Notamacropus eugenii: one gene and its partners. The protein of the gene in region 4 interacts with the protein of the main gene of each other region in a biochemical or structural test. Links are inferred from orthologs where the notes say so. Each region holds a gene or a part of one and is shown on either strand. Other genes may lie near its edges. The genes, in order: SLC34A1, SDK2, SLC22A12 and PDZK1.

What was found.
Region 1: the proteins of PDZK1 (region 4) and SLC34A1 form a complex in vitro, tested with the Homo sapiens proteins (2 studies listed by BioGRID and IntAct, with this or other methods). The link is inferred for Notamacropus eugenii from reciprocal best matches to the Homo sapiens genes PDZK1 and SLC34A1.
Region 2: the proteins of PDZK1 (region 4) and SDK2 interact in a test that uses a peptide from one of them, tested with the Homo sapiens proteins (2 studies listed by IntAct, with this or other methods). The link is inferred for Notamacropus eugenii from reciprocal best matches to the Homo sapiens genes PDZK1 and SDK2.
Region 3: the proteins of PDZK1 (region 4) and SLC22A12 form a complex in vitro, tested with the Homo sapiens proteins (2 studies listed by BioGRID and IntAct, with this or other methods). The link is inferred for Notamacropus eugenii from reciprocal best matches to the Homo sapiens genes PDZK1 and SLC22A12.

The regions. Positions count from the first base shown.
Region 1 is NC_092872.1:414,518,512-414,525,471, reverse strand, and holds the start of SLC34A1 (sodium-dependent phosphate transport protein 2A), read left to right. Parts: upstream 1-3,939; 5' UTR 3,940-4,044; intron 4,045-4,478; 5' UTR 4,479-4,504; coding exon 4,505-4,616; intron 4,617-4,898; coding exon 4,899-5,054; intron 5,055-5,324; coding exon 5,325-5,453; intron 5,454-5,740; coding exon 5,741-5,884; intron 5,885-6,960.
Region 2 is NC_092873.1:338,819,983-338,826,925, forward strand, and holds the start of SDK2 (protein sidekick-2), read right to left. Parts: upstream 3,012-6,943; 5' UTR 2,898-3,011; coding exon 2,834-2,897; intron 1-2,833.
Region 3 is NC_092873.1:17,299,136-17,306,272, reverse strand, and holds the start of SLC22A12 (solute carrier family 22 member 12), read right to left. Parts: upstream 3,009-7,137; 5' UTR 2,734-3,008; exon of another isoform or gene 2,707-2,733; intron 2,589-2,706; 5' UTR 2,450-2,588; coding exon 2,048-2,449; intron 1,661-2,047; coding exon 1,557-1,660; intron 1,398-1,556; coding exon 1,243-1,397; intron 1-1,242. UniProt on the Homo sapiens protein: Electroneutral antiporter that translocates urate across the apical membrane of proximal tubular cells in exchange for monovalent organic or inorganic anions. Involved in renal reabsorption of urate and helps maintaining blood levels of uric acid.
Region 4 is NC_092873.1:303,013,161-303,021,032, forward strand, and holds the start of PDZK1 (Na(+)/H(+) exchange regulatory cofactor NHE-RF3), read right to left. Parts: upstream 3,022-7,872; 5' UTR 3,001-3,021; coding exon 2,997-3,000; intron 1-2,996. UniProt on the Homo sapiens protein: A scaffold protein that connects plasma membrane proteins and regulatory components, regulating their surface expression in epithelial cells apical domains.

The DNA of each region.
Region 1 (6,960 bases), on a different chromosome or scaffold from region 4:
TCTGATTAAAGAAAAATACTTGGAGACAACCAGTTATCCTTTCTCCCCTAAGTCTTTCCTTCTTCCAGATAAACATTCCCAATGCCTTCCATAGAACAGTGTCTCTGGTTCTTTTATAATTCTGGTTACTCACCCCTGAGTACTTACTAGTTGTCGATGTCCTTCTTAAAATGTGAAGTTCACCTATGCCCAAAGGGCTATAAAACATACTGGTACTAGGTCTATAGCCCAAAGAGGTGGTAAAAAAGGGAAAAGGACCCACATGTACAAAAATATTTATAGCAGCTCTTCTTGTGGTGGCAAAGAATTGGAAATTGAGAAATGGCTAAACACATTATGGTATATGGATGTAATGGAATACTATTGTTCTATAAGAAATGATGAGCAGCAGATTTCAGAAAAACCTGGAAAGACTTATATGAACTGAAGCTGAGTGAAGTGAGCAGAACCAGGAGAACACTGTACAAAGCAACAGCAACATTGTGCGATGACCAATTTTGAAAGACTTAGCTCTTCTCAGCAATGCAATGATCTATGACAATTCCAAAAACTCATGATGAAAATGGTATCCACATCCTAAGAAAGAACTATGGAGTCTGAACGCTGATCAATACATACTATTTTCCCTTGATGTTTTATTTCTCATAGTTTTCCCTTTTGTTCTGATTCTTCTTTTGCAACATGACTGATGTGGAAATTTGTTTAACGTGATTGTACATGCATAGCCTGTATCAGATTGTACACCATCTTGAGGAGAGGGAGGGGAAACATTTGGAACTCAAAATCTTATATAAATAAATGTTGAAGACCAAAAATAAATAAATAAATAAATGATGTGAAGTTCACATTTGTGTTCTAAATATTTTTCTAGCTCCCACATGCTGCCATTAGAATTTATATTCTAAAAGTGGTCAAAAGATATGAGCAGTTCTCCAAAAGATACTCACAAATTATTAGTAATTGTATGAAAGTTTGTGCCAAATTGTTAATAATAAGAGACTAGTAAATCAAAATATTTTTGAGCTTTCACTTTACACCTAGTAAAGTGGTAAAAAAGGACAAAAAATGGAAATAGTCAATATTGAAGGGGCTGTGGAAAGAAAGGCACACTGATATACTATTTGTGAAGGTGTATAGTGGTCCAGTCATTCTGAAAAGCAATTCAGAATTATGCAAAGAAAATAATTAAAATGTCCATATCTTTTGAACCAGATTTCATTACTGGGTTTATATCCCAAGGAAACTAGGAAATCAAGAAAATAAGAAGAAAATTCCTACATATTATAAAATATTTATATCAGCTTTTTTTGTGATAGTTAAGAATTGGAACAAAGTAGATGCCCATCAATTGGGGAATGGATAAACAAATTGTGGTACATGAATATAACAAAATATAACTGTGATATAAGAAATCATGTGGATGAGAAGTATGGAGAAGCATGTAAAGATGTATATGAACTGATGCAAAGTGAAGTAAGCAGAGCCAAGAAAACAATATACACAGTGACTACAACAATGAAAATGAAAAGAATGGCATGCCAAAAATAAAAAATAAATGTAGCAAAATTATAAAAATCAAATAAGACTCAAATGAAGAGAGATGAGGAAACACCTCCAAACCACACTTTTGTGGAGCTGATAGGTCCATATATATTACACACTGCACATGTTTTTGGACTTTTTCAATGTATTGATCAGTTTTACTAATTTTTTCCTTTCTAAAAAATATTATTTGTCTTATGGGATAGTTCTCTTGGAGGGGGAGAAGGAAACATACTTGGGATAACTACTGTAATGTAAGAAATAGAAACTATCAATTAAAAACTTATTTAAAAGAAAGAAAATTACTGATGTCTATACCTTTTGAATCAGAGATCCCAGTGTAGACATATAATCTAAAGAGGCCAAAGTGAAAAAGAAAAGTCCCATTTGTTGATTGTGATATCTATGGCAGCACTTTTTGTGTTAGGAGAAAGAAATAGAAACAAAATGGATATCCATTGATCTGGGAATGATCCAGGGGTGGGGAACCTGCAGCCTCAAGGCCACATGTGGCCTTCTAGGTTCTTGGGTGCAGCCTTTTGACTGAGTCCAAGTTTTATAAAACAAATTCTTTTATTAAAGGGATTTGTTCTGTAAAGTTTGAATTTAGTCAAAGGGCCACACTTGAGGACCTAGAGGGCCACATGTGGCCTCAAGACTGCAAGTTTCCGCAGCCCTGCAACATATTATGGTATTTGAACATGATAGAATATTACCTTGTTGCAAGAACTCAAAAGTGTAAACAAATAAGAGAAGAATAGGAAAACTTATATGAACTGATGCAAAATAAAGCAAGCAGAATCAGAAAAAGAACACACACAATGAGTACCACAATGTAAATGGAAAGAACAACTATTAAAAAAAAAACAAACCTGAACCTGTATAATGACCAAACTTAGGCAAACAAAAGAGATAAGAAAATGTACTTCCCTCCCCTTGTTGCTGGTGAGGAATTATAGAGATGAAATATTGTACATACCATCAAACACGATTGATGTGTTATTTAATTTCAATGAATTGCTTTTTCTTTCCTTTTAAAAATCTTTGTTACAAAGGACCGTTTGCTGCGTGATGGGGAGGGATATATTTAGAATAAAATATGATATAAAAACAAAAAACATCAATAAAAAATAAGAGATTTTTTTTAAAAATTCTGTGTTCAAAGGTTCCTTTCACATTCAACACTCTGAGTTCCATGATCCCCTACCCACAATTCCTGCTATAAACCTAAGCATCATGCTCACAGTACAATTATTTGTATCCCTAGACTCCACCTCAGTAAGACACCTATCCCTAGTCTTATTGCTGGCCTTTAACCTGTCCATTTTCCTGATCCTCTCTCTCATTATCCTTTGTCCTTGGGTAAAGTGGTTCTGTGTTTATGCCCTAATTCAGGCCTGCACAACATTTGGCCCACAGGCTGCTTCCCATGCATCGCTTGCAGATTGCGAAAAAATCTTGGGTGGCCTGTGAAAAATATAAAGGACGTAAAACAGGTCTATACGTATCTGCAGATAGCTTTGTTGGGCATCAAGAGGCCCACAGGCTTTATGTTGTGCAGTTCTGCCCCAAATGGTCCTCAGGCCACAGAACCTCTGGTCTATCAGAGGACAAGAGTGGGTTTGGCCAAGATCACAGACACAAACCCATATAGTCCAGATTTCCCATCCCTCTAGATTAACCCTATCTGCCTCCAAAAATCCATCCATCTAAAAATCCTAATTCTCATCCCAGGACTAAGTGTCAGGTTGTGGAAGTGGGAAGCTTCTCAAGTAGAGACTGTGTCACCATTACATATAGACACACCCACAAATGCAGGCTCATAGACACACATACACACAATTGGTGCTTAGAACAGCACATAGAACAGCACATAACATAGTAGGTGCTTAATAAATGTTCATTGACTGACAGAAATAGATTCATAAAAATAGATTCATAAAAAGACACACACAAACACATATATACCTGCAAAAGAGATACATGCATAAACGCACAGACAAGGGAGAGTTCATTTGGAGAATTCCTTGGAGAAAAGGAGAATGATAGGAGAAAGTGGGGGGGAGCCCACAGGAGCTAAGTGGGGGAAGGGTAAGAGGTGTGAGCTGGAGGGTACTGAAACTGGGGACTCTCAAAGGGAGGAGTGTCCTCAATGTGTGGGGTTCCAGTAACAGAAGACTATAGGCCTGGGGAGAGTTACTATCTAGGCAGTTCTGATCATGCAGGGGAGTGGGAAAACTGCCCAGAAAGAACCCAGGGGTGGACACCTCCATAGACAAAGACTCCTCCTGACGATTAGCAATTAACTGGGAGGAATTTCAGGGGAGGAGATTAATTAGGTAACTGTAGAAGGTGGCTGGGGTCCTGAGGGACTTTGATCTTGACCTGAGACTATAAAGGTCTCAGTCCCCACAAAACATTCCTACTTTGGCCACAAGGATTTTCACACTCAACTTTCTAGAGTCATAACCCAAGAGTCAAAGCCAGCCTCTGGGCAATCAGGTGAGTGACTGAGGAAGCTGCAGCCTAGGCTGGCTTTCAACTCTCACCCCTTCCAAGTCCCCAGACTCAGGCAACCTTGGCCCCACTCCTCACCTTTGCCCCTTCATCCCACTCTGTGGTCCTCTAGCCTTGATTTCCCAGTCTTTTAAAATCCTGATACCCTTTCACTTCAGCACCCTGACTCCTGACTCTCAGTCCCAGACAACCAGGACTCCCACATTACTTCATTCCCCACCATAGTCCCAAAGTCCATCAATCCCCAACCCTTTTATTCCAGCCCCAAGAGGCCTCCTGCCCCAGCTCCCAGCAAGTGTGTATCGGGTAGGGTTGGGGGTCAGGGAGCACACCGAGGAGAAGAAGGATATGGGGGTTGTGGAGAGGCAGGAATCTCCACTGGGAAGGAAGAATCTGAAAGTTGGAATATCTGGTCCTAGGGATCTCTCTGGTGTCTGTACCCAGGATGATACCTTACAGAGAGAGACACATGGGCCCTGCCCTATCCCCACTGCCAGCTGCCAGTCCTTGCTGTGTGATCCGAGGTGCAGCCTTTGCCTATACCCCCAGTCCTCAGGGTAAGAACAGAATACCCCCAAACCCAGTCTTCCCGCTTTGATAGGGGCTCCATCTATGGGGGTGCGGGGAGGAATTCTGAGGGTCCCAGGCCATAGATCTTGCCTTACTCTGAGCACCTCTCATTGGACCAAGGAGTCTCCTCCGAGGGCCTGCCACTAGCAGGCTGCACAGAGGCAGCATGCTGTTTTTCCATTGTCCCCTCCCCACTTAAATTCCACTTCCCCACAACCTAGGGCCCCAACTGGCAGCAGAGTCACTCAGCTATCTGTATTTCTCCCTAGTTCTACATCAGATTCCTGGAGCCCCAGCCTATGCCTTCCCCACCATCGGGCCGGGGGGCCTTTCTGAGTGTGGCTGTCTGTGTGGAGAGACCCTGGAACACTATGAGCCTGACCCACTGCCCCCCAAATTGACCCTGGAGGATACACAGAAGTCAGGTGCAAGGATGTGAAGGGGATGGAAATTGGGCTCCCTCCCCAGGTAGGGAGTGAGGAAGACAGATGGCCAGGCTGGCCCTCTGGATAGAAATGAGGGAGGAGACCTATATCATTGGGGTCAGTAGGAAAGAACCCTGTTATAGAGGTGGGCCCCAGAGAAGTGGATCCAAAATAAGGGGCCTGTGGAAGGACCTGGGCCACATGGAAGAGTTGGTAGGGGAGGAGAAGAGCAGGAGGGGAGGGACTCACCCTGGGACTGTGTCTCCCCAGAACCAGGGCCATCCCAGAGGCTCCCTTCGGCCTGTATCACTCTCCTCAAGGTTCCCATGATGCTTGTCTCCCTCTACCTCTTTGTCTGTTCCTTAGATGTGCTCAGCTCAGCCTTCCAGCTTGCTGGAGGTATGTAAAAGAGGAAGGGGAGGGCAGGCAGGGTTGGAAGGGAGGTCTAGGAACCATCATGGGACTGGGAACTGGACTTCAGGGACACTGGGCCAAGAGATTCAGAGCCTCTGGCTCAGAGTACCAGGATATGGACTGGGCCTCAGTGGACACTGGGCCATCTTCCGGCCAGGAAGGTTTGGGAGGCTGAGGGGACTGAGAACAGATGGCAGGTCTCTGATGCTGGCAATTGTCTTCAAGGGCCTTAACCCCAACACTTTCTCCCTTTTTTCTGCCCCCCCCTCCAGGGAAGGTAGCTGGTGACATCTTCAAGGACAACGCTATCCTGTCCAATCCTGTGGCGGGGCTGGTGGTGGGGATTCTAGTGACTGTCCTTGTGCAGAGCTCAAGCACATCCACGTCCATCATAGTCAGCATGGTCTCCTCAGGCTGTGAGTCTTGGGAGGAGAGTTAGGGCCTGTGGGTAATGGGGAGTGAGCCGGGGCACTGGGGCACTGGGGCACTGGGCAGGGAAGAAATAGAAGAGTCAGTATGAAGAATGTGGCCTCCACCTTCACTGACATGGTCACCTTCCAGGGATCCCAGCTCCCCCTCCAGAGCCTTGACTTTTTCTGGTTTCCAGATCATTCACCTTGACTCAAGGCACTGAGCCTTCCAGAGCTGCCTGTCCCCTGAACCTGCTCACCCCCCCAACCTCAGAGATGTATGACCCTTGATCTCTGATTTCTCCCCTTGCTCCCTTTCTCCTCTCATTGACATTGAACATCTGAGTCTGGGATCTGGCCCTCTTTTCCTTCTTTGTTCCCAGAAGAGAGCATTTTCTTTTTTAAAAAATTAATTTATTTGTTTTCAGTTTTCTATAATCACTTCCATAAGTCTTAGGTTTCCTCCCCCTCTCTCCTCCCTCCTTTTCCCCTCCCTCCCCAAGAGGGAATGCAATTTTATATGGGTTCTACAAATACATTCTTTTAAAACACATTTTCACATTAGTCATGTTGCATAGAAGAATTAAAAAGAATGGGAGAAACCATGAGAAAAACCAAACCAAAACAAAACCTAAGAGAAAATGGTCTGCTCCATTCTGCCTTCCAGTTCTACAGTTCTTTCTCTGGATGTGGATGGCATTTTGCAAGAGGGTATTTTAGGTTAAAAAAAAACCCCAAAACCTTTTATTGAAATAGTTTGTTTTTATTTTACCTTAATCTTCCAATATGTCCCTCATCTACCTACTCTATCCAAAGAGCCATAACTTTTAACAAAGAATAAAAAAAAGGAAAAGAAAAAAGCAGCTCAGCAGAGCTAACCAACATATTAACTAAATCTGACAGTATATCCAGTGTTCCACAACTGCATCCTCCCACCTCTGCAAAGAAAAAAAGAAAATAGAATATTTTCTAAAGTTTATGTAGAGGAGTAAACTAATCTATAGGGAAGCTTGGTGGTACAGTAGAGAGAGTGCTGGGTCTAGAGTTAGGAAAACTCATCTTCCTGAAGTCAAATCAGGCCT
Region 2 (6,943 bases), about 36 Mb from region 4:
CTAAGCATTGTGGTATAGGCAGCTGGGTAGCAGAGTAAATAAGAGTGTGTGGTCTAGAGTCAGAAAGACTCATGTTCCTGAGTTCAAATCTGACCTCAGACACTTTCCAATGGTGTGACTCTGGGCTAATGACTTAACCCAGTTTGCTTCAGTTTCCTCATCTGTAAAATGAGCTAGAAAAGGAAATGTCAAGCCCCTCCTGTGTCTTTGCCAAGAAAACCCCAAATGGGGTCACAGAGAGTGGGAAACAACTGAACAACACCAACAAAGCAGTATGGTGGTACAAAGACTAGAACTCCTCATCTGAAAGTCTGGTTTCTATTCTAATTCTGCCACTAAATAGCTTCTCACTTTCAACTCCATCTGGGTCTGGTGGGCAGATATGGACAACTGGAGATGGCCTAGGATGCAATGCGTGGAGGATCTGGGCATTTTCAAGCTAAGGTCTTTAACAGGCCTCAGTTTAACTGAGGCAGCACTCATTCAGTGATTAAAGATTAATAAAAAAATAAGGCAAAGAATGGCCTCTTTAAAAAAAATTATTTGAGAAAAGACCCTCAGGTTTTTGGCCAAAACAGAAACAACTGTTATTTGTATTCTTTCTGAACTGATGAGGGCTCAAACGATGACCAAGTAGGGCTTGGCCTGGGACCTACCATAGGCCAATCAATGAGAGCTAGGAGACCCTGGACAAGTAACTTCCCCTTCTCTGGAAAGGAATTTCTTTCTTGTCCAATGAGGAGGTTAGATCAGATGATCTCAAAGGTCCCTCCCAGCACTAACATTTAAAGACCTGAGTGTGGTGACACCTATAGTCTTAGTAGAAACACAAGAGCAGGTAAGTGGCACAGTGGAGAGTGCCAGGCTGAGAATCAGGAAGACTCATATTTCTGAGTACAATTCTGACCTCAGACCCCTACTAGGTATGTGACTCTGAGCAAGTCACTTAACCCTGTTTGCCTCAGTTTCCTCATCTGTAAAATGAACTGGAGAAAGAAATGACAGGCTACTCCTATATCTTTCCCATAAAAACCCTAAATGGAGTAACAGAGAGTCAGAAACAACTGAGCAACAAAGAAACACACAGGGGTGATTGTGGGAAGTGTCCGTTCCAGTGCCTTGCCTAGTGGTAAGCAGCAGTATTGAAAGCAGCAGTCAGGAGGCAAAACAAAACAGAGCATAATTAAGCCCCCACTCACCCATCCCACCCCCATTCCTTCCTCCCCATCTCCACCTCCCAGCAATCATCTTCTATCCTCCAGGCCACTCAACTCACTCTTGGCAAGAGTTGGTTTTGTTTTTAAAGACTGTAATTGAAGTCTCTAAGAGGGAACAAATGTCCAGTTCCCCCCTCCCATTTAATCCCTTCTCATTCTAGGGCTGGGGGAGAAAGAAGGATTCTATGTCATCAACTCTTACTATATTCCTAGATCTCCTTGGACAATATCATTAACTTACTACCCTCTCTCCCTTGGCCTAGGATCCACAGTTTCCTCCCTGGAGAAGAGACATGGGCTCTAATAGGGATTTGCCTGATACAAAGGAGGTATCCAGTTACCTTTTGTTCAAAATACTTACTGCTGGGCCTTAACCCACACAGTACTTTATACTTTCTCCCAAGGTCAAGCAACAAGGACCTAAGGGTTCCTGCCTTTTTTGTCTTTTTCTTTCTTTGTTTACTTTATTTTCTCTTTATGCCCTTCAGGTATTCCTAGGTTCACCTCAAACACACAATCTCTTTTAGGAAGGAGAGAAAGGAGGCACATTAAGTGTAATCCCCGACTGACACACCCTCCACCAAACCAGACACACCCACCCATCCCATTTCTCCTGGAAGATCAGGAGTAGTCTGAGAGCTTCCTCTGTCATGGGTACACACCAAGGACAAAACTTCTCATCTCCCCCCCCCCCATAAATTAATGTGTCTAGTACATAGGAAGTAATTAATAAATACTTGTTGATCAGTTGATGTCTATATACATTAAGGCCAATGCAACTCAGGAGACAGTGCAAGAAGGGTGAGGGGAGGATGTCATGGTGGGTGTGGGGAAAAGGTTTTTCAGAGACCCCTAACTAGTTGTGGCTGCAGGCATCAGTACATACATATAGCTACAGAGAGCTATTGTGCATACCGAGATCAAACACTGTGGATTCAGCCAATATACACTAAGACGATGAGAAGGGGTGGGGGTATGTACGTACAAGGATCACACTCGCAGTATGGAGGAAGAGGCAGACTTTTGATATAATGAACCTGACCGACGCACCCCCATTTCATGCCTCCCTCCCCTCCACTGCCCGGCTCCGGAGGTCGTAGAGCTGTTCACAGGTTGTTTTCCCCTGCCCAGTCTGACAGGGTAGGAAGACACAGCTCTTGAGGACGGAGATCCCAGCTCTCCCAGTTCTCCCAGCCCCAGGGAGCAGAGCTGGAAGAAGGCTCTGATCAGGTTAGAGGCATAAACTCGCCCCTTCTGCCCCAGCTAGGCATTTCTACAGAATGGGTGAACTCCAGTCTTGAAGAACTACACCACGAACTGGGGCTGGGGAGGTGGGGTGGGGAGGGGGAAGATACGGGAGCGGGGAGCCTCACGATCCCTCAGCTTCCCCTCAGCCCCCAACCCCAGTCCAGTTGAATTCAGAGATAGCGGCTCTTCTCTCCACCTCAGTTTATGTTAGCTCTCTGATCTCCTTATCTGCCTCTATTAAAGGCGCCCCAGAAAGATCTCAACCCAAAAAAGGGACTCCTAGTCCAGTCCCAGAAAGCCCGGGGGTGGATTCTGCGACGGCCGCTAAATCCATCGCGGGGTCCCCCAAACCACACGTGCCTTCTTACCTTGGGCTCCGGCAGCACGGATCCGCAGCAGGACCAGCAGGGTGCACAGCAGGGGTCCTCGCATGGTTTCGGGACGTCGAGGTGCCCCTCCGGGCTTCCCTACTTCACCTCTTTACGTTTTATAATCCTTGTGGGGTCCGACACCCCGCGGCTTCTTCCCACGGTGAATCAATTAGGGGCCCCAGTTCTCGGGACCGTGTACTCGAGACAAGGGGTAGAACGGATGTCCCCCTTGTCTCTTCCGAGCTCAATCTCCCAGAAGACAAAGAGCAACAAGGGGTTGGACTGGGCCGGGAGGGCTAGCCGCCCCCTACTCCCTCACTGGTATTGAGCACTTCCTTTCCAGTCCCCTTCTCCCCCAAAAGGCAGTGCTACCACGGCGGCTCCCCGGCAGGGTAGCAGCCTCAGCTCCAGCTCCGGGAGAAATGGACAACTTTAAGAAACTTCCTCCGGTGGCCACGTTGCCCGCCCCCCGCCCCCTCCGCCTGCCGCCCGCCAGCCCCTTGGTTTGGATTTCCAGGCGAAGTCCTCGCTCTTTGAAAGGTTTGGCCTCAGGTCCCAGCGCCTGGAGGAGTATGGAGCGGCAGGGGGGAGGGGGGGCCTGGAGAGTGAAGGTGATACTTTAGGGGTGCCGGGGTTTAGGGGTAGGTTGGTACATCGATCCAAGTCTTCAAGTTTCCTTCTCTTTCTTTAACTTTGCAGGACGCATCAAGTCGGGCAGAGACCGCTTCGACCTAACACACTCTCTCCCTTTTCTTCCTGCGCCCCCACCCCAACCCGTTTGGCACAGAGAATTCACCCGCGGATGGAATGCCGAAGGAAGCCGCCGGGACCAAGCTCTCCGCTCCACGCCTACCCGGCTAGCAAACTTTGCACGTCCTGCAGCTCGGCTGCGGAGCTCCGGCTGCACCACGTCCACACCAACCCCGATGCTGCCGGGGGAAGTTGGTGTGGCTGAGGGGCGCGCTCCGGCCGGCACCCAGGGAACTGAGCGCTCCGCCTGGCCTGGCGGCGCGAGAGACGGCCGGCTCTGCCCGGCTCCTCCGGAGTCCCTGGCCCCAGCCCGAGAGGACAGATCCAGGGAAGAAGGCAAAGCTGCAGTCTAGTCTGCGAGGCGCTCAGCCAGCTCTCCCCAGCTCCGCGCCCTCCGGGAAAGAGGAGAAGCACCTTTGTCCCCACGGCCAGCGAACCGCCGCGGCCCCGGCCAACGCCGCTCGGTCTCGCCGCGGAGCCGCTCGTCCTATCCAGCCGCTCCTCTCCTCTTCCCTGGGCTCGGCTGCAATGTGAGCTGGGGCTCGAGTCTCTGCCGAGCCGGGAGCGGCGGCGGGGGGGAGCCGGAGCCGTGGACGAGCGCGGCGGAGGCGGAGGGAGAGATGGAGAGGGGGGCCGAGCGCTACCCTGTGGCCACGACTGGAGAGCAACCCTGCGCGCACAGAGGGGGAGGAAGGAGGGCCGGGGGCGCGGGAGTGAGCCCCGCACAGACACGATCTATCTCCGATGCCACAGCCCCCGCGTCTCAGGAATCCGCTTTCGTGCAGTAGGCACTTCGAGTCCAGGGAGAGCGCTACATCACCTCCACTCCCATTCTGTCCCTCCCAGGAGCCCTTCTCAGGCCCCTCACATGCCCCCCTCCCCCAGTTTCAGTCCTAGTCCATTAAGGGGGGGACCCACCTCCTCACACACGCCCAGTCTGGCTTAATGCCTGGGTAAGAAATGGCATGGCGGAGACAAGCCAAGGCCAACAGGGTAGGGGAAACCGAAGGGGAGGGTCAGGAACAGAGTTCTCCTGTGCGCGTTAAAAAAGGTTTGGAAACACTTGGAAAGGGAACAGGGAAAATAGAAGATTGGGATCCATAAGGGGCGCAAGAACGTGGCATTGGAGCTTCGGTCACCTCGCGCCCCGCCCCCCTCCCCCCGCTCAGGAGAAGGCAAAGGAGCCACCCTGAGTCATCACAAAGCGTTTGCTCGCCCGGGAGCTAGGTTGGGGGGGGAGGGGGGCGGGATGGAGAGAAGGTCCCCTTTACCTTGGTTGGAAGTCTCAACAGGTGATGGCGCTGTAGCAGTTCCTCTGATGGACCTGGACTGGTTTTCTGTCTGCCTATTTCTGTTGCGAATCAAAGGACCAGTGTGTGTCTGCGTGGCCTGGAGATACACTGCGGCTAGTCTCTGAACTCTTTGTCTTTCCTGCCCTCCGAGTATGACACCCCATCTAGTCCTACCCCTCTTTCTTTGGACCCCCTTCCGTCCCTTCCCAGTTACTGAGCTGTTCTTATTGCCTTCGCTAGCAAAGAGAAATTAGTCTTCACATTGAACAGGGACTCTTTATCTGGGGTCCGTGAACTTAAAATAATTTTTTCTGATAACTTTCAATGCAATTGGCATTCTTTGTAATCCTCTATTTTACGTATTTAAAAGAATTGTTATCAGAAGGAAACCTTAGGCTCTGCCAAACTGCCAAAGAAGTCCATGACACACGCAAAAAAAAACCCCAAAACATTAAGAACTCCTGATCTAGAACATTTTGTTACTTTAATCTCAAAGACTCTGGAATGAGAACCAGGGACATTTGATGTAATGAGCCCAGGAGTTTGGCCTCTCTGCAGGCCTGCAGCCTTCTCACATAGACCAAATCTGGTATCTTCTCATCAAAACCTACACCTCATCCTGGCTGCAAGCACCCCAGCCCAACTCCAATTAGTAACTGCATGAGATGAAAGTAGGCAAGGGAGAGATCATGGATGGGCCTAGGGACTCCTCTATTCTCCCCCTCACCCCCCACCTAAAACAGGCAGATAAACACTGTACCACCTTACTTTTAGTCACTCAGGGCTCTGACTTCCACGTTTTCTCCCCCAGCCCAGCTCAGAGATACAAACTGGCAAAGCAGTCGAACTTGAAACAGTTAGGCTCTATGTTAACAAGGAAGTTTGTTGGACATGGTCCAAGCATATCTACCCTGGTGTGTTCCAGGATGGTGACTCACAGGATCAGATTCTTGAGGTGCTTCTGTCTCAGCTGAGGGAAGAGGCAATAGAAATATCACAACTAAATTCACAGGTAAAAGTAAAAGGCGCAAGTGTACCTTTACTTGCACAGGCAAACATATAAACAACCCAGTTCCTCAGTGACTTTATTCTTATACACCTTAACTCCCTCAAACAAAAAACCAGTGGTCAGTAGATCTAGAGCAGAATTGGCTGGAGGGCCAGAAACAGATTTTAATCTGAAAGTGTAGGCATTAAGCACTGGGTGTCACACGCCAAAACCATCCATTCTTTTTCAGACGTTTATCATCATAAGATGCTAGAATAGAAAAACTTAATTGGAGATTGGGGAGATGTCTTGAGAGAATGTCTCATTTCAGGATCCAAGGCACCCCCAACTCACAAGTAGAAGAGCCAGAGTTATACCAAGCCAGAAATTATTCCAACAAATTGATTGTTGTTCAATAGTGCCTGAATGGGTTTTTTTCTTGGCAAAGATGTTGGCATGGTTTTGCCATTTCTTTCTGTAGCTCATTTTACAGATGAGGAAACTGAGGTAAACTGGGTGAAGTGACTTGCCCAGGGTCACACAGTTAGGAAATGTCTGAGGCCAGATTTGAACTCTCTGAATCTGGTGAGTTCTGGATTCCAAGCCTAGTGCTCTATCCACTGTACCACCTAGCTACCCATAAAGCAAGAACAGAAACATACTAAATTGTTGAACTCAGACACTTCCTAGCTGTGTGATTCTGAGCAAGTCATTTTATCCAGTTTGCCTTGGTTTCCTCATCTGTAAAACAAGCTGCAAAAAGAAATGGCAAAACCACTCAAGTATCTTTGCCAAGATAACCTCAAATGGGGCCACAGCAAATCAGAAGCAACTGAAATGACTCAACAACAGCCAGTCATATAGGTAACAAGTGGCAAAGCCAGTAGTAATTAAGCTCAGACTTTCTGATTCCTTATCTAACACTCTTTTCTCCTGTGCTGCAGTTAACTTCTAATAGAGTTGTTGTTCCATAGGTGGTTTCTATATATTTGAGGAAAGGAGGGCAAGTGCAGAGGAAACAGTTCTGGAATAAGGTATTAAAAAAATGAGTTAAGCCTCTGTCCATAAAATACCCAG
Region 3 (7,137 bases), about 290 Mb from region 4:
ATCACAGAAATGATGATATGACCTGCACTTGACTTTGTTTTGAGTGAAGGAGGTCTGTGCAGGTCACCAACCTCACTTCTCCACCAGAGTCATCTGAATTCAATGACCTGATATTCCTCAGGATGACTGAAGGTAGCCCAGAATGCACTGGGAGACCTTGGTGGGGTCATAGGCTGTACTGCAAAGAGCTGAAGGGAGTGGGAAAGGAGAAAACAGAAATCAAGAGAAGACAACCCTTTCTTGGAGTGAAAGGGAGGAGAATATTGGATGATAACTGGAGGAGATGGCAGAGTCCAAGAATAGTAAGATCTTTTAAGAATAAGGAAAGTATGGGCACATTAAGTGTGGAGAAGTCAGTAGATAAGGATAGATTAAAGATGAGAGGAAGAAAAGAATGATTGAGGAGTCAAGGTCCTAGATGAGATGAAAGGAGATGGAATAAAGAGTCCAAGTGGAGAGTTTAGTTTTGTCAGAGTAAAGGGTCACTTCTTCATCACAAACTAGGGCAAAGGAAAGGAAAAGAGGGGCTTTGAGATATGGAATGGGAGAGGAGAGAAAGCTAAAGACAGATGGTTTCTATTTTCTCAGTAGAATAAAAATCAAGGTTCTCTGTCAAGAGGAGGTGGAAAGGACAAGAGGGGAGACAGGGAAGGGTTTGGAAGAGTATCCATGGAAAGTAGGAAAGAGAGTCAATCATACAAAAATAAAAAGATTGCCATGCCGCAGTGAAGACCCAGTTGAAATTATATCTCATAAATTTGTGATAAATATCATCAATGCAAATGAATGCCTTTCTCCTGTACTGTTCAGCAGCATGCAATCCATCTGTCTATAAATTCATCCATTCAGTCTTGCATGCATTCATCATGCAAGCATCCTTTTTGTCTTTCAGTAATTCAACACTTATTAAGGACCTACTATATGCTTGGCCTTGTCTAGATATTGAGAGAAATTAAACTAGATATGATCCCTGCCTTCAAGTTGACTACAGTTTAGTAGGGAAGATGAGACACACAGACACAGAAAAGTGATAAATTAGAACATCTACGTGTACGAGGGTGTAAATGAGACTAGGTGGAAAGTTAGCTTCTAGCTGGAGAGGGGGTACAGATCTGAGAGAAATCTGCAGAAGAGGTGGCATTTGAACTGTGCCCTGAGGGGTGAGAAGGATGCCAACCTAACTTCACTGGTTATACAGTCTTGGTCTGAGGGCTTGGGACAGGTCCATGGCACCATACTTACTGAGTATCGCAGTGTTCATCATGATGCCAGCCACAGCAAAGGCTGATAAGAAACGCAGGCAGCAGTAAAGGGAGAAGTTGGGGACAAATGCAGAACAGGAACCAGTGATGGCCAGCTGCAGGTAACAATAGCTCAATACCAGCTTCCGCCCAAACCTGTGATACAGGAAGTGAATCTAGGGCAATTCGGTGAGACAAAAATGCCATGGCACAGAGCCAGATGGGCAGGGGTCCCCCAACATCTCTGTTCCCAGGTTCTGAGGGATCTGTATGGAACTAGAGGAGTGAGAGCAGCTTAAATCAGAAAACACTCACCTGTCAGAGACAGGGCCACATACAGCAGCTCCAATCACGATGCCAACCATGAATATGGACTGAGCCATGGGCTTCAGGAACTCCCAGTCACACACCATATCCCACTATAGAAGAAGGGAAACGAACAGCAGAGGTTGAGAGAAGCTACTTCACAGACTGTCGCAACTGGGAGAGGACTTGGAACATGGAATACCAGGGATGTCAGCTAGGAGGGACCATCTCATCTCACATACTTGGAAACTGAGCCCCAGCAAGGGAAGTGCATCCCCAAGCTCACACAGATCATTAGCAGCAGTGCTAGTGATCAAAACCAAGGCCCTCTATACAGAGAGTAGAAGGAATCAGGAGGAATGTGATGGGAAGGAAATGTTTTCAGTCCTAAACAAGCCATTTGGAATATACTCAGCTATGCGAATGTTAGGCAACACTCCAGAGAGCTACACATGGAAATGGGGAAGGGAGAGAGGACTAAGAAAGAGGGAGCCCCTGACCTCAGACACAATGGTAGAAGTGAATTCACTGTGGTCATAGATCCATCCATTCAAGCAAGGTTCTGTATCTGCCTCGCTTGCATTAGGGACTGATGCATTGAGTTCCAGAAGCTGCCACTGTGGGTGCAGGTAGCGACGGCATCTCTCCAGCTTCTGGTGTTTGTCCAGGGGAATGAAGACCCTCAGGAGGGCATTGGGACCCAGGCCTCTGGTGATGTTTGGGAAGGCAGTGGCATTGTCAAGAAAGGGCAGCCGGCAGCGATGGTCAGGAATAGCTGCTGTGAAGTTGTCCAGCAGATTGTGAGGGGTGACACATATGACAGCCAAGACTAGAGAGATGACTTGAGAGATCTGAAACCTTCCCGAGCTGCCAACATATTCCAGGAGCTCTGCAAAGGCCATGAGGGCCCAAAGTGAGGTGAGCTCGGGTAGACACCAGCCCCAAGAAGCAAAGGTGGTGCAGCCAATAGAAAGAGCTCTGGAGGCAGGGTCAGAGGCTCTGAGTCCTCATCTTAGCTCTGCCCCTCACTATCTGTGTAACCTGTAAAAGAAGGGGGAGAGACTAGATGACCAGTCCTAAATCTCACCAAGCTATCATTGATTGATATTGACTTGGACCCTATTCCCTCCCAATACAAACACTCACAGCCACCACATACCAACCTTGAGTTGAACCTGGACTTCACCTGGTGTGGGGAAGCTCTTCCAGGGAGGGGATCAGGACTCTCCCAGAAGTTCTGTTTAGTTGGGTCAGGTGCTCCCTGGGCCCTTCTCTGAGAGACTCCTCTGGGAGTTTCTGGCTCAAACCAAGAGAGGGCCAATCTGGAAGAAGTGCTGAACTTTAGAAGCCGTGGGAAAGCTAAGATCCAAGAAGAGATTTTGCCAAACTGCCTCCGTGTCCCAGATCGCCCTGTTACTAAATTACACTGGTGGAACAGTTAACCTTGGGGTTAACTAACCCTGGCACAGGCCATGATGTAAATGAGTATTTCACCCACACCTACTAGTGAGCTGGGAGATGGGCGTCTACCTGAAGGCCATGACCATCCAGAACGGTCTTCCGTAATCTGATCCTGGATCTCATGACCCTTGGGGTCTCAGAGTTCTTTTTTACTGTCTAGCCCCAATCCCTCTTGATGCAATTAAAGTCCATTTCTTCTTATCTTGCTTTTGGTGCTATGGAAAAAAGACTAGAACTTGGAAACTGAAGATCTGGCTTTGAATCCTGGTCCTTAAGACTATTTGTGACACCTTGGGCAAGTCAGTTTTCCCAACTGGGCCTCAATTTTCTCACAGAGTACAAATGAGGTTCTTAGCATTTTTTGTGTGTCATGAACCCCTGTAGCTTCTCAAAATCATGGTTTTAAATAACTGAGGGAAAGGCTAATGGTGAAAATAAAGATGGCATTTCTTTCCTACCCAAGTCTATGGACCTTCTGAAGAACCCAAGTGAAGGGGCCTTGGATTAGATCTTCTCTATATAGTTCTAATTCCTATGATTCAACAAATCACAGCTCTGCTGTTTACCATGTAACATGCCATCTCTCAGCCTCAGTTTTCTTCCTTGGAGACAATAAGACCCCTGAATGAACCAAGCTGTGCAAAAACACTTTGTATTCATGAAGTAGGGCTGCTTTTTGTTTTAAGAAGCACTGTACATAGGTTAACTCAACTAATACAACAACTGTTCAAGGTAGGTGTGATTATCACCCCCATTTTACAGATGAGGAAACTGAGGCACAGGCAAGCAACAAGTCAGTTTCTGAGGCAGGATTTAACCCACCCTCTAGCCACTCCACTAAGCTAGACAGAATATCAACATCAAGGAAGTATGCTGAATGTCTAGAAAGAAAGTCAGACTGTGAAGGATTTTAATTACCACACAGAAATATTTTACCCTAAAGCCCAGAGTCAGAACTGGACAGTTTTTGAACAAGGGAATGACATGATTCAACCTGTACCTTAAGAACATCAACTGTGGAGGATGGATTGGAGACGGGGAGAGCCTTCGGGCAGAGAGACCAATTAGGAAGGGGGATGTGGAGGTGCTGAAGGTCTTAACTAGGGAGGTGGCTATGAATAGAAAAAAAAAGGACAGATATGAGAGTCGTTTATAGGATGTTGCCTTCTGACTGAATGGATGAAAATTCATTTAAGTACCTACTATGTGCTATGTGCTCAGTACTACGTGCTGAGCACTGTGTTATGGGCTAGAGATACACCTATAAGGATACAAAGATAATTCTCGCCCTCAAGGATCTCACATTCTAACAGGGAAAATCATACACATAGGTCACTGCTGGCTAGGGATGAGAAAGTTTGATCCAGGAAGTTACAGGGTGAGAGACCTCCATAGATGAGTAGATTGACACATCCCATCCAGAAACAATGCCGGTGTTTGGATAGTGGTTCATGATCCTAGGACTTCAGAGGATGGGAGAAGGAAAGGGCATGCAGGATGGAGGTGAGATGCCAGTCAGGAGGTTGTAGAGGAGGTGACCAGAGAGCGAGGAGGGAAGGGAAGCCAGGCTGGGACTTTCCTGAAATACAACTCCGTAAAGGCAATCCCTTGGTTCAGTGCTCTGGGCATGGAGTCAGATATGGGACACTGTGGGAGGTGGCCAGAGGTCACACTCACTGCATGTTCCAGTTTTCGCCTCCAGGCAGCCTTCCTTGATATATCACTTTCCTCCACAAAGCACTTTATATACACAGTCTTTCATCCAGTTCTCACAAGGACACTGTGAGGCTCATAGTACATGTGTTATTATTCCCTTTTGATGGATGAGAAAACTGAGACCCAGAAAAGGGCAGTGACTTACCCAGGGTCATATAGCTAAGCAAATAAAAGGGGGGCTAAGACTTTAAAATCCCAGTGACCTTCCAAGTCCAGAGCTCTTTCCATTGTATTACACTGCCTAACATTCGTTACCTGTTTCACTCAACAATTCTGTAAGTCTTATCCCATAGATTGTATCAGAAACTCTCTGCCTCTAAGGATCTGACAGTGGAACTGGGGAGACCATGTGAACACATAGAAAGATATAGATATAAGGCTATCATAGGTGGAGCTGAGCCTTGAAGAAAGCCAGTGATTCTTAAGAGGCAGAGGTGAGGAAGGGGATCATTCCAGGCCTGGGCACAGAGATGGGACCTGAGCCTCAATATAATCCCTCCTATGAGATTCCCAACAAGTAACCATCCATTGTGAAGACCCTAATCAGCCAAGTGAAGTCCCCATGCTCTCCCTGGAGTCATCCATTCCACTTTGAGGGAGCTTAAATTGCTGGGGAGAAAACGTTCTTTCAGAGAACCTAAATTTTTAACAAGTTCCCATTGCTCCTGGATCTGGCCTCTGGGGTCATGTCTAATTCTTTCAGATAATTGAAAACAGCTTTCCAGTTTCCCCTGAATCTTCTCTTCTCCAGTCGAATTCTCTTCTCCTCAGTTCCTTCAGCCACATTTTGTAGAGCAAGGTCTTCAGGCTAGGTCTCTAGGTTGGATGGAATCTAGTTGGATAAATGCTTATTGAGCTGAATTATCCAATTTTAACAATTTCTTCGATGCCCAAGGCCCTATGGGAATAGTTGACTTCTCCATTTTTTAAGAGCCAGAGGAAAAGGAGTTAGAGAAAATTCCTTATTGCTCAGTGACTCAGCATCCTGGAGAAAGTCTGGGATGCTACTGTTTAACGAGGACACCAAACCAGGCTCGATTCCCTCAGTGTCATGGTTCATTCCTCTCCTAATGCTGCCCATGACAATTAGGGCATTTTCTCATTATTCAACCAGTCTTGACTTTGATGTAGTCTAGTCACACTGGCTCCCTTCCCAAGAGGAAAGAGGAGAAACACATAGATGAAGATATCTGAAAAGCCTGGTGAGTCCATTGAACATTGCCGTGATACCAAAGGGATTGGGCCAACCCTTGTATCTATCCTTATCTGAATTACTCATGATTGATGCACTCAGGAGTGACTAGGCTTTGTTTACCCCAGACTGATGCATTTTTGAAGGGCTCCAGATCCCTTTGTTCTCCTGAGGGTAAGACTTTGGATCCTTTAACATTCTGTGTGCCCCTTGGACTCAGCAGATCATGTTCTGGGCAAGTTCTCAGAACCAGAACTGACATTGGGCCTCCAGGGGTCTGATATCTGGGTACGTGTATCCTCACTTTCCTTTGTCTGCTTAATCAGTACACAATAAATACAATAAATCCTGTAATTAGATGAACAAAGAGACCTTCCAAGTGACTTGAAATACTGGACTATGCTGGTAAAACCCATTCCTTCTGGTTCAATTTGTTCCATTACACAAACACACATACATCTTTCCCTTTCTTGCCACATCCATAACATTAGGTTATTGGGGGGGAGGGACCATGACTAGCTCCTGCACATATTTCTTTCACTGTGAACATTGCAGGAATTAGGTGGAAAGGATAAAGATACATTCACTCAATCATCTAACAAACATTTGATGAAGGAGTAGAAAAGGTTGAGAGTGAGGGATACAGAGAGGGCAATAAGGCTGGCTCTTTATGAAGTCTCAGCATCAAGTGATTTTTAAAGGGAACGTTTGTTTCTGAGACAGTTAAGAAGACTGCACACAGTAGGACTTTGGGTGATAAGCTATCCTGAAGCCCTTTAAGCCATGGACCAGCCTCTTTTTTTCTCAAGTCCTGCAGTATGGTGAGGCATGTTGATTCCTGATCAACATGGGGCAGGAGCATGAAGGCATATGTCATTGACATAGAACCTTGCCAGCATGTCCCCAGTACTTGGGGTGGGGATTAAGAGAAGCCGAGCAGAAGGCCATCTTTGGTGGGTCAACAAGCATTTAGTAAACTCCTACTCTGCCTCAAACATTGTAGTGAGCTTTATCTAGTGTGGTTGAGCTACTTTAGGCTGGCCAAAAATTTCATTGTTTCCATATTCAATTCCTATCTATATCTGCCCCAAGGTAACTGCCTTTCCCCAACCCCAGAATGTCCTTTTACCCATTTAACAATCCGGCTGTGCTAGGGTAAGGAAAACAATTTATTAACAACTTGGTATCATAAAAGCCAGTCTACACTCTATTCATTCCATA
Region 4 (7,872 bases):
TGACTTCCTCTGAAGCATTTTTAGTCGTTGGGATTCCACCTATATTTCCTCTGTGCCCTCTGAAATCTGCCTTCCTAAAATCTAGAGCACCTGCCAAACTATACCCAGATTTCCTTTCTTCTATCACAAACTCTAGGATGGAGTGGTCACTTCCCACCAAGATGTCCCTCATTTCCACCCCAGCAATCAGTTCCTCTAGGGTCACCAAATATTAACAGGGGAACTTCAGAACTCTTCTGGGCAAACATCTTCAGGTGACAGGTGGGGAAACTTAATGTCCCTAAAAGTGCACTGACTCTCTGTTATCTCCCATCATATAAACCTGAGGTAGTAATTCCTATGGAAAGGTTTAAAGTTCTAAGGGAATCCAAGTCCTGTGCCAGTCCTCTGAGCTTTCCACCATCAATTCAGTCTGAAGGTGAGACTTCCATAGCAATGTAAAGCAGAGGGGATTCTAACTCTTCTCTCAGTTCAAGTCATACTATACATGTACATGCTGGTATAGAATGATCATATCTACCTAAGTGGGTACCCTGACTGGGAAATGGACAAATGGACTCAGACACCAATCATTCCCCTTCAGGAAAAGGACAGATAACTTACAGCCCTGCCTCTTCGATCCCTATAGTGTCATCAGAAATTTTCAAGACTCCTAGAGAGGAAATTCAGCCATGATAAATGTCTTCTACCAAACCTCCAGACATTTATTCAATTCAATAAGCTCATAAGAAGTGCATAGTAAGTGCAAGTTAATTATACCAAGAGGCAACCAGGTGGTACAATGAATGGAGTGCCAGGCTTGGAGTCATCAAGACCTGAATTCAAATCTAGCCTCAGACAAGCTGCATGACCCTTGCAAGTCACTTAACCCCATTTGCCTCAGTTTTCTCATCTGTAAAATGAGCTGGAGAAGGAAATGACAAACCACTCCAATATCTTTGCCCAAAAAAAACCAAAAAATAAATGGCATTGTGAAGAGTCAAACATGACTGAAACAAGTGAACAACAACTGTTCCAAAAGCTGGTTACCCAAAGGAAGGGAATACAAAAGTTTCTGCCCTCAAGTAGCTTACAGTTTTCTGTGAGAAGGGAGGGCTACAACATGTATATAGGTTGTAATACTATTTAATTGAAGAGGAAGATAGTAAAAAGAACTAGCGACTGGTATTTGGAGCAAGGATGAGAAATCAGAGCAAGCCTTCACAGAAAAGGTGGCACCTTAGCTGAACCACGAAGGAAGATAAGGGTTCTGAAGGAAAGTGATAAGAGAGTGGATTCCAGGCATGGGAGATATACATTTGCACAGAGACAAGAGATGCATTTGAGTATGGCATTAATAAGTATTTCACTTAGATTTCTCTTTGCTCTATCTGCCCCACCCCTCCCATCCCTTGAATTAAAAGGTAAGTGGGAAGCCATGTAGCCCAACCTCCCAGTTAACACCAGATTCCTCTCTATAGCATCCCTGAGAGAGTTATTCAGCCAAGGCTTGAGCATGTACAGTAAGAAACAGCTCCTTGGAACAACATCAGGGACCTTTGACTACCACCAGGCCTATGTAATTTGCACTAGAGATGAGACCCTGCCCAGTATTTTATGGTAGGAACAATGTATGAAATCCAGAGAGCTGATTCACTTAATCAAGCATAATAAACAACCTCAAGGTCTCTTATTTATTTGTCACTAGGATGAATACTTGACTCCAGAGTTAATTCTGACTGATGAGATATGACTCTTGGGACACTGAGATAGAGATCTTCCAAATGATCTCTTGGCTCAGTTTATTGAGGTCAATAAATGAGGAAGGATTCCTTTTCTTCTTGGGACCACATCATATTACAACCACCAGTATTTTTCCCCCCATAGCTTAAAAGAGTAAACAGTGTCCCCTAAATACCATTCATCACTATCATAGTTCTAGCAGACACTCACCAGAAAAATAACATACAATAACCAAGTCAGTTGAGACCATGTATCTTCTAGATACAAGAAAATACAGACAGTCCAGAGAAACTTTTCAAATGGCCCCAAATGACCAAGTGGTCCATTTTACTTTTAAAACCCCTTTCCCCACTCCCTCAAGCTCAAACCTGGTCCTTAGAAAGAATAAGAACTCATGTTCTTACAAGTTTCAATACTTAGCTGAAGTAACATTGTACACAATGAGGTTTCTGATCATTTTCTTTGATCAATTTATGGTGATTTACCAATTACTAAAAACCTCAGTCCAGAGCCCCCAAGACTTCTTGGTGAGTATCTTGGCATCCTAAGCCTTGAGGGATTCTTGGGACCTGTAGTGGCTTAGCAGATGTGGATATTGTATGAGTGTTCTTCCAAACAAACATGGAGCCCTTAGCATTAAGCATTTCTCTGTAGAAAACTGTGGTACAATGGAAAGACAACCTACTCTGGAGTCAGATTTCAAATTCTGCCTCTATCACTCATTACTTATGTAACCACAAGCAAGTCCCTTAACCTCCTTGGGCCCCCATTCCCTCATTTGCATAAATGACAGGGCTTGGACTTTGAGGTCTCTTTCGGATTTAAATCTATCACTAACAAGTCACAGCAGCTGCTTTGTGACAGTCCTACCACTTTCAATGAGGGGTGATTGCAGAGAGTTAAAGGTTTCATAGGACATGTATTTCCCAACAGTACTTACTTCAGCTAAAACCCTGTAAAATTTCATGACAAAGAAAATCTCCATAACACTTAAGAGTCTGACAGGGTATTAATAGAAAAAATGAGAAAAGTCTGAGAGCAGAGTGGTTTCTACTGATTTCACGGGAGATAAGTACAGAAAGTCACTGGCAGTCCAAAAGGCTACAGGCAATCCTTAACTTAGAAACAGAGAGAGAAAGATGGTTAGACCCTTTATGTTTCCACAGCCAAATGTTCTTGAGAAGTAGGCAGGCCAGATACATGAGGACAGGATAAACAAGTCTCTACGTACTTTGTATTCACTCTACCTAACCTCAGAGTGGGGGCTGTTTTACCCATGACAACTTCCCATGATGCCAGGACCCTACACAGGGTTTCCAGGGGCTCAAGGCAGTGCTGCTTGGGGAGTAAGCAAATTATCCCACCAGCCAAGTTTCCAATTGCCCTCTAACTTCTGGTGAAGGACCACAGCCTTACAAGCCCTTATCTCCTCCGTCTCCAGAACCTCCCCTAGAATAAAGAAGGGAGAAAGAATAATTTATTGGATAATGCCTGGTGACATCAGCTAAAGACTCTCAATCATCCAAAAAAGTTTTTAAGTGCTCTGTCCCAAAGAGGGGAAGGAGCTACATTCCCCATTCTCCAGAGAAGGAGCTTATAGCAAAACAAAGTTATCAGGATACTTCTAGATATTGAATTCAAGTCAAAACCCCACTTGACCCAAATAATCACCTCAGTTCCTTGTGTCACCTTAGCCATGGAGCTCTAATCTGAATGTCTTTGGGTCAGAAGGAGGGAAATAAGTATTTATTAAGACATTGTGCTTTATAAAAATTATTTCATTTGATCACGACAACCCTTTGGGATATGTGCTATTATTATCCCCATTTTATGGTTAAGGAAACTGAGGCAGACTGAGGTTAAGTGATTTACCTAGGATCACATAGATAGTAAGTATCTGAGACTACTTGAATTAACTCTTCTAGCCTCCAGGCCCACCCCTCTATCCATTGTTCCACTGGCTGCCTAGGTAAACCCACCTCCTCCTTCAGGGCTGTTTTCCCAGCAGTTCTATGGAGAAGATCACATCTATGGCTTACTTTTACCCCTTTCTACTTCCGAGTAGCTAAGAGAAAAAGGAAACCTGAAAGGACAGCCATTTTTAAGGAGGGGAAGTTAACAGACTACTCCCTTGACTTGAAAGCTAAGACAAAGAGTTGATTCTTAGGGTGAGTTCCTTAGACAGTAACTCATGCCCCAGACCAAGGGACCATAGAAAACTAGAGTGTGTCTTTTCTAAGGAGCCTCCTCACCTCCCTTCCCAGATGAATAGCAGGTGAAAGGGTTTCCATCTTTCTGGGCTATCTATCCCCTGGAGATCTGGCTATCTACTTGAGGAAAAGAAAAAGCAGGGAGGAAGAAGGAAGTTCAGCCAGTGCCTTCTCTCTGGTCAAAATGAAGACAACCTAGCTACATTAGCAAAGACACATCCTGAGAAATTGGAAAGAGGATTTCTTACCTGTATCCAGGACTGAAGCTCTTTATTTTACCCTGGAAATTCTCTCACTGCTGACAGGTGCTAGACTAGGAACCTGCTGGACTTTGGTTGAACAAAGGTTGATTTAAAAGCTGATCTATTTAACAGGACCTTGTGGTCTAAGTTGAGATGACCTATGCCCCCCTCCCTGCCAGCTGGCCTGTAGCGCTGGGGCCATGAGGGACTGCAAAGTCTCAAACAAACCTGAGTTGCTCTGTCCTCAAGGAAGGGGGATCAGTGCTCACCAGCAGACACCTTGATTCTGAGAACCTGGGATGAGGGATAAAGTAGAAGGCACTTGCTCTTCTGGATTCAAATCCAGGATACTACCTATGTGATCTTGGACAAGTCATTCCTTAGTTCTCTTCCTGAGGCAGAAGAGAAATCAGTTTCAGCCAGATATCAGCCTCATTTAGGCCAAAGCTTGACTATTCTCCTGTTGTAGTGCTACCTGCCAAGCAAACAACATGGCTAAGGTCAGGGCAGCAGCAATCTTCCCTAGCAGATCTGTCTGTCTCTGTCTCTCTCACCCACTCACAGCCCTTGAATTCTTTACCTGCCTCTTTTTGCAGAGAAACCTTCCACCTATGGGCAATTTCTTCCTTGCACTCTCCCACACTTATCTTCTAACAAGGTGCCTCCTTGTCCTCCTGCCCCACAATGGTTGGAGAGCCTCACACCGAAACAGAGGTGGCTAGAGGAGGGCAGCAGAAACAGGCCAAATGCAGCATTAAGAAGCTGCCCAACCCTCCTCCCCAGGACAGCTGGCTTGAGACAGGTGGGCCCAACCGGTTACTCTGGCCTCCAGCCCAAGCCAAAGTGATGAACAAAACAGAGATCTCTATCAACATCACCCACGCAACCAGGTTGGCTGGCACCAGTGGTTTTGGATGACCTGAATCCCCCAGCCCACGATTAGAAATGAGGGTAAGAGGTAGCTCAAGTTGCCCCAAGGCAAAGAAAAGGAGAACTGAACCCAACCACAGACTGGAGACTCAGTGGTCTAATAATCCTTCATCCCCCATCTCCACACATTCCCCCTACACATACACACAAAGACACAATGTACTGTCCTCATAGGTGGTAGCTATTGCAAAGGGTCCTGAGCACATGAATAACTAAATATAAGCCAGTTTTGGGTTTTCTGCTCACAGTGTACCTTCATGTGGACTGCATACACACACACACACACAACACACACACACACACACACACACCTGGCCCTCTTTGACGTTTCCTCTTCTGATCCATATGCCACCTGGTCTATTCCTGGGGCTCAGATCAAGTCCCTCTTCCTCAGTGACTCTCTCCTGAGTACCCTCCCTTCACCCAGTGAGCTCTTAGAGCACCTGTGGGCAATTTCTTGACTCTGTTACCCAGTTGGCCCAGATCATATACAGGCATATCTCAGAGACATTGCAGGTTTGGTTCCAGACCACTGAGATTAAATCGCTATTGCAATAAAGCAAGTCACACAATTTTTTTTGTTTCCCAATACATATAAAAGTTATGTTTACACTATGCTGAAGTCTATGAAGTGTGCAACAGTATCATGTCTGAAAAAACAATGTACCTTAATTTAAAAATATTGCTCAAAAATGCTAACCATCATCTGAGCCCTCAGTGGCTCATAATCTTTATGCTGATGGAGGGTCTTGCCTCCATGCTGATATATCTGCTGGTTGAGAAGGGTGGCACCAGGTTGCTGAAGGATGGGGTGGCTGTGGGAGTTTTAAAAAATAAGACAACAATGAGGTTTGCTGCATCATTGAATCCTTTTTTCACAAGAGATTTCTCTGAAGCATCAGATGCTGTTTGATGCCATTTTACCCACCATTTTACCCTACCCAGTAGAACTGGTTTCAAAATTGGAGTCAGTCTTCCTAAACCCTGCCACTGCTATGTCCACTGAGTTTATGCAGTACTCTTCAAAACTGTTGTGTCTTAGGGAATAGTGAGTCTCGAGGAGAGGGAGAGAGACAGGGGAACCGCAGGTTGGTGGCACAGTCAGAACATGCCTGTTTATCGATTAAGTTCATCATCTGATGTCGCACAGTTTGTGGTGCCCCAAAACAATTACAGTAGTAACATCAAAGGTCACTGATCGCAGATCACCATAGCAGATATTATAATAATAATAATAATGATAAAGTTTGAAATACTGCAAGAATTAGCAAAATATGAAACAGACACACAATGTGAGTATGTGCTATTGGAAAAATGGTGCCAATAAACATGCTCGATGCAGAGTTGCCATATGCCTTCAATTTGTAAAAAGAAAAAAGAAAATAAAATATGCAAAAAATGCAAATACAATAAAGCAAAGCCCAATAAAATGAGGTATACCTGTACTACCTTCAATTCAACTGAATATGTATTATACTATTATTTATCTTCTTCCTGTGGCTACACGTCTTCTCTCTCCTTTCCCTCCACCTCTAGCTTCACAAAGAAATACAAGACACACTCTGTATCCTCACATAGCTTATACACTAGTTGAGGAGACAAGATATAAATGCATGAAAAGTCACAAAAACAACAGAAATCCATTCATTCATCCAACAAAATGGAAATACAGTAAATACTAGAGATCTCTAAAAGCAACATGTAACTTACTGCCAAAGGAAGAGCACAGAAAAAGATGGTTCTAAGTTACAGGAAAGAAAAGGTCAGAGTCAGCTGGAGAGATCTGAAGGGCTTCATGGAAAAGGTTAGACTTGAGCTGGGTCCTGGAGAAAGGTCATGGTGGCATCCAATTTAGAGTTCAGTGCCTCACTTTACAGAGGAAGAAAGAGATGAGGTAACTTCCTTAAGGATGATACCTTTGTTTTACAGAGAGCAGAGTAGAGAAAAATGGCCTGGTAACAGTCTTGGAATGGGTAGACTATGAGATGGGTCCAATATGAGACAGGTCCAGTAGAGAGAGAGAAGACCAATTTGGCAAGAACAGAGGATTTGGGGTGATTGGAGGCTGGGAGGAGAATACTAGAAGAAAATGTTGAAGTGAATGAGAACCAAATGAGTGAAGGCATCAAACCTCAGGTAGACTATTCATTTCTTCCTTTACACAAACACATATACCAAGTTTGTCATCAAGGCAAAAGCAAATGTCATTGGGTGTGTCAGCTTCTTCAGCATGACTTCCAAGGAAGAGGATCTGTTAAGACAGTGGCAAAGTTCTGTTCCTTTCTTGAACTTCATGGACCATCCTGCTCAGCCTGATCTCCCTGAACCAGAGAGAGAACAAGGTATTCCCTCTTGAAATATTCTGGAGAATCACCTGCTCCAAAAATTACTCCATTCACTGACTCAGAAGATTTGAATTGATAGTTGGAAAATCAAGGTTCAAATCTCAACTCTGTCACTTTCTAACCATGTGACCTTGAGCAAGTCATGTTATCTAACCAGGGCTTTTTCCTCATCTGTAAAATGAGGCAATTAAGACTATATGATTTATATAATCCATATCATATTTCTTGCCTTCTCAAAGGGGGGGAGGAGCAGGCAGGAGGGAGAGAATCTGGAACTCAAAAAAATTTTTAATGAATATTTAACATTTTTTAAAAATGTAATTGGAAAATAATGAAATAAATTTAAATATATTTTTTTTAAAATTTCTAAAGACTGGAGGTCCCTACTAAAGGTCTTTCTTAACTTTAAATTTGTGACTATGC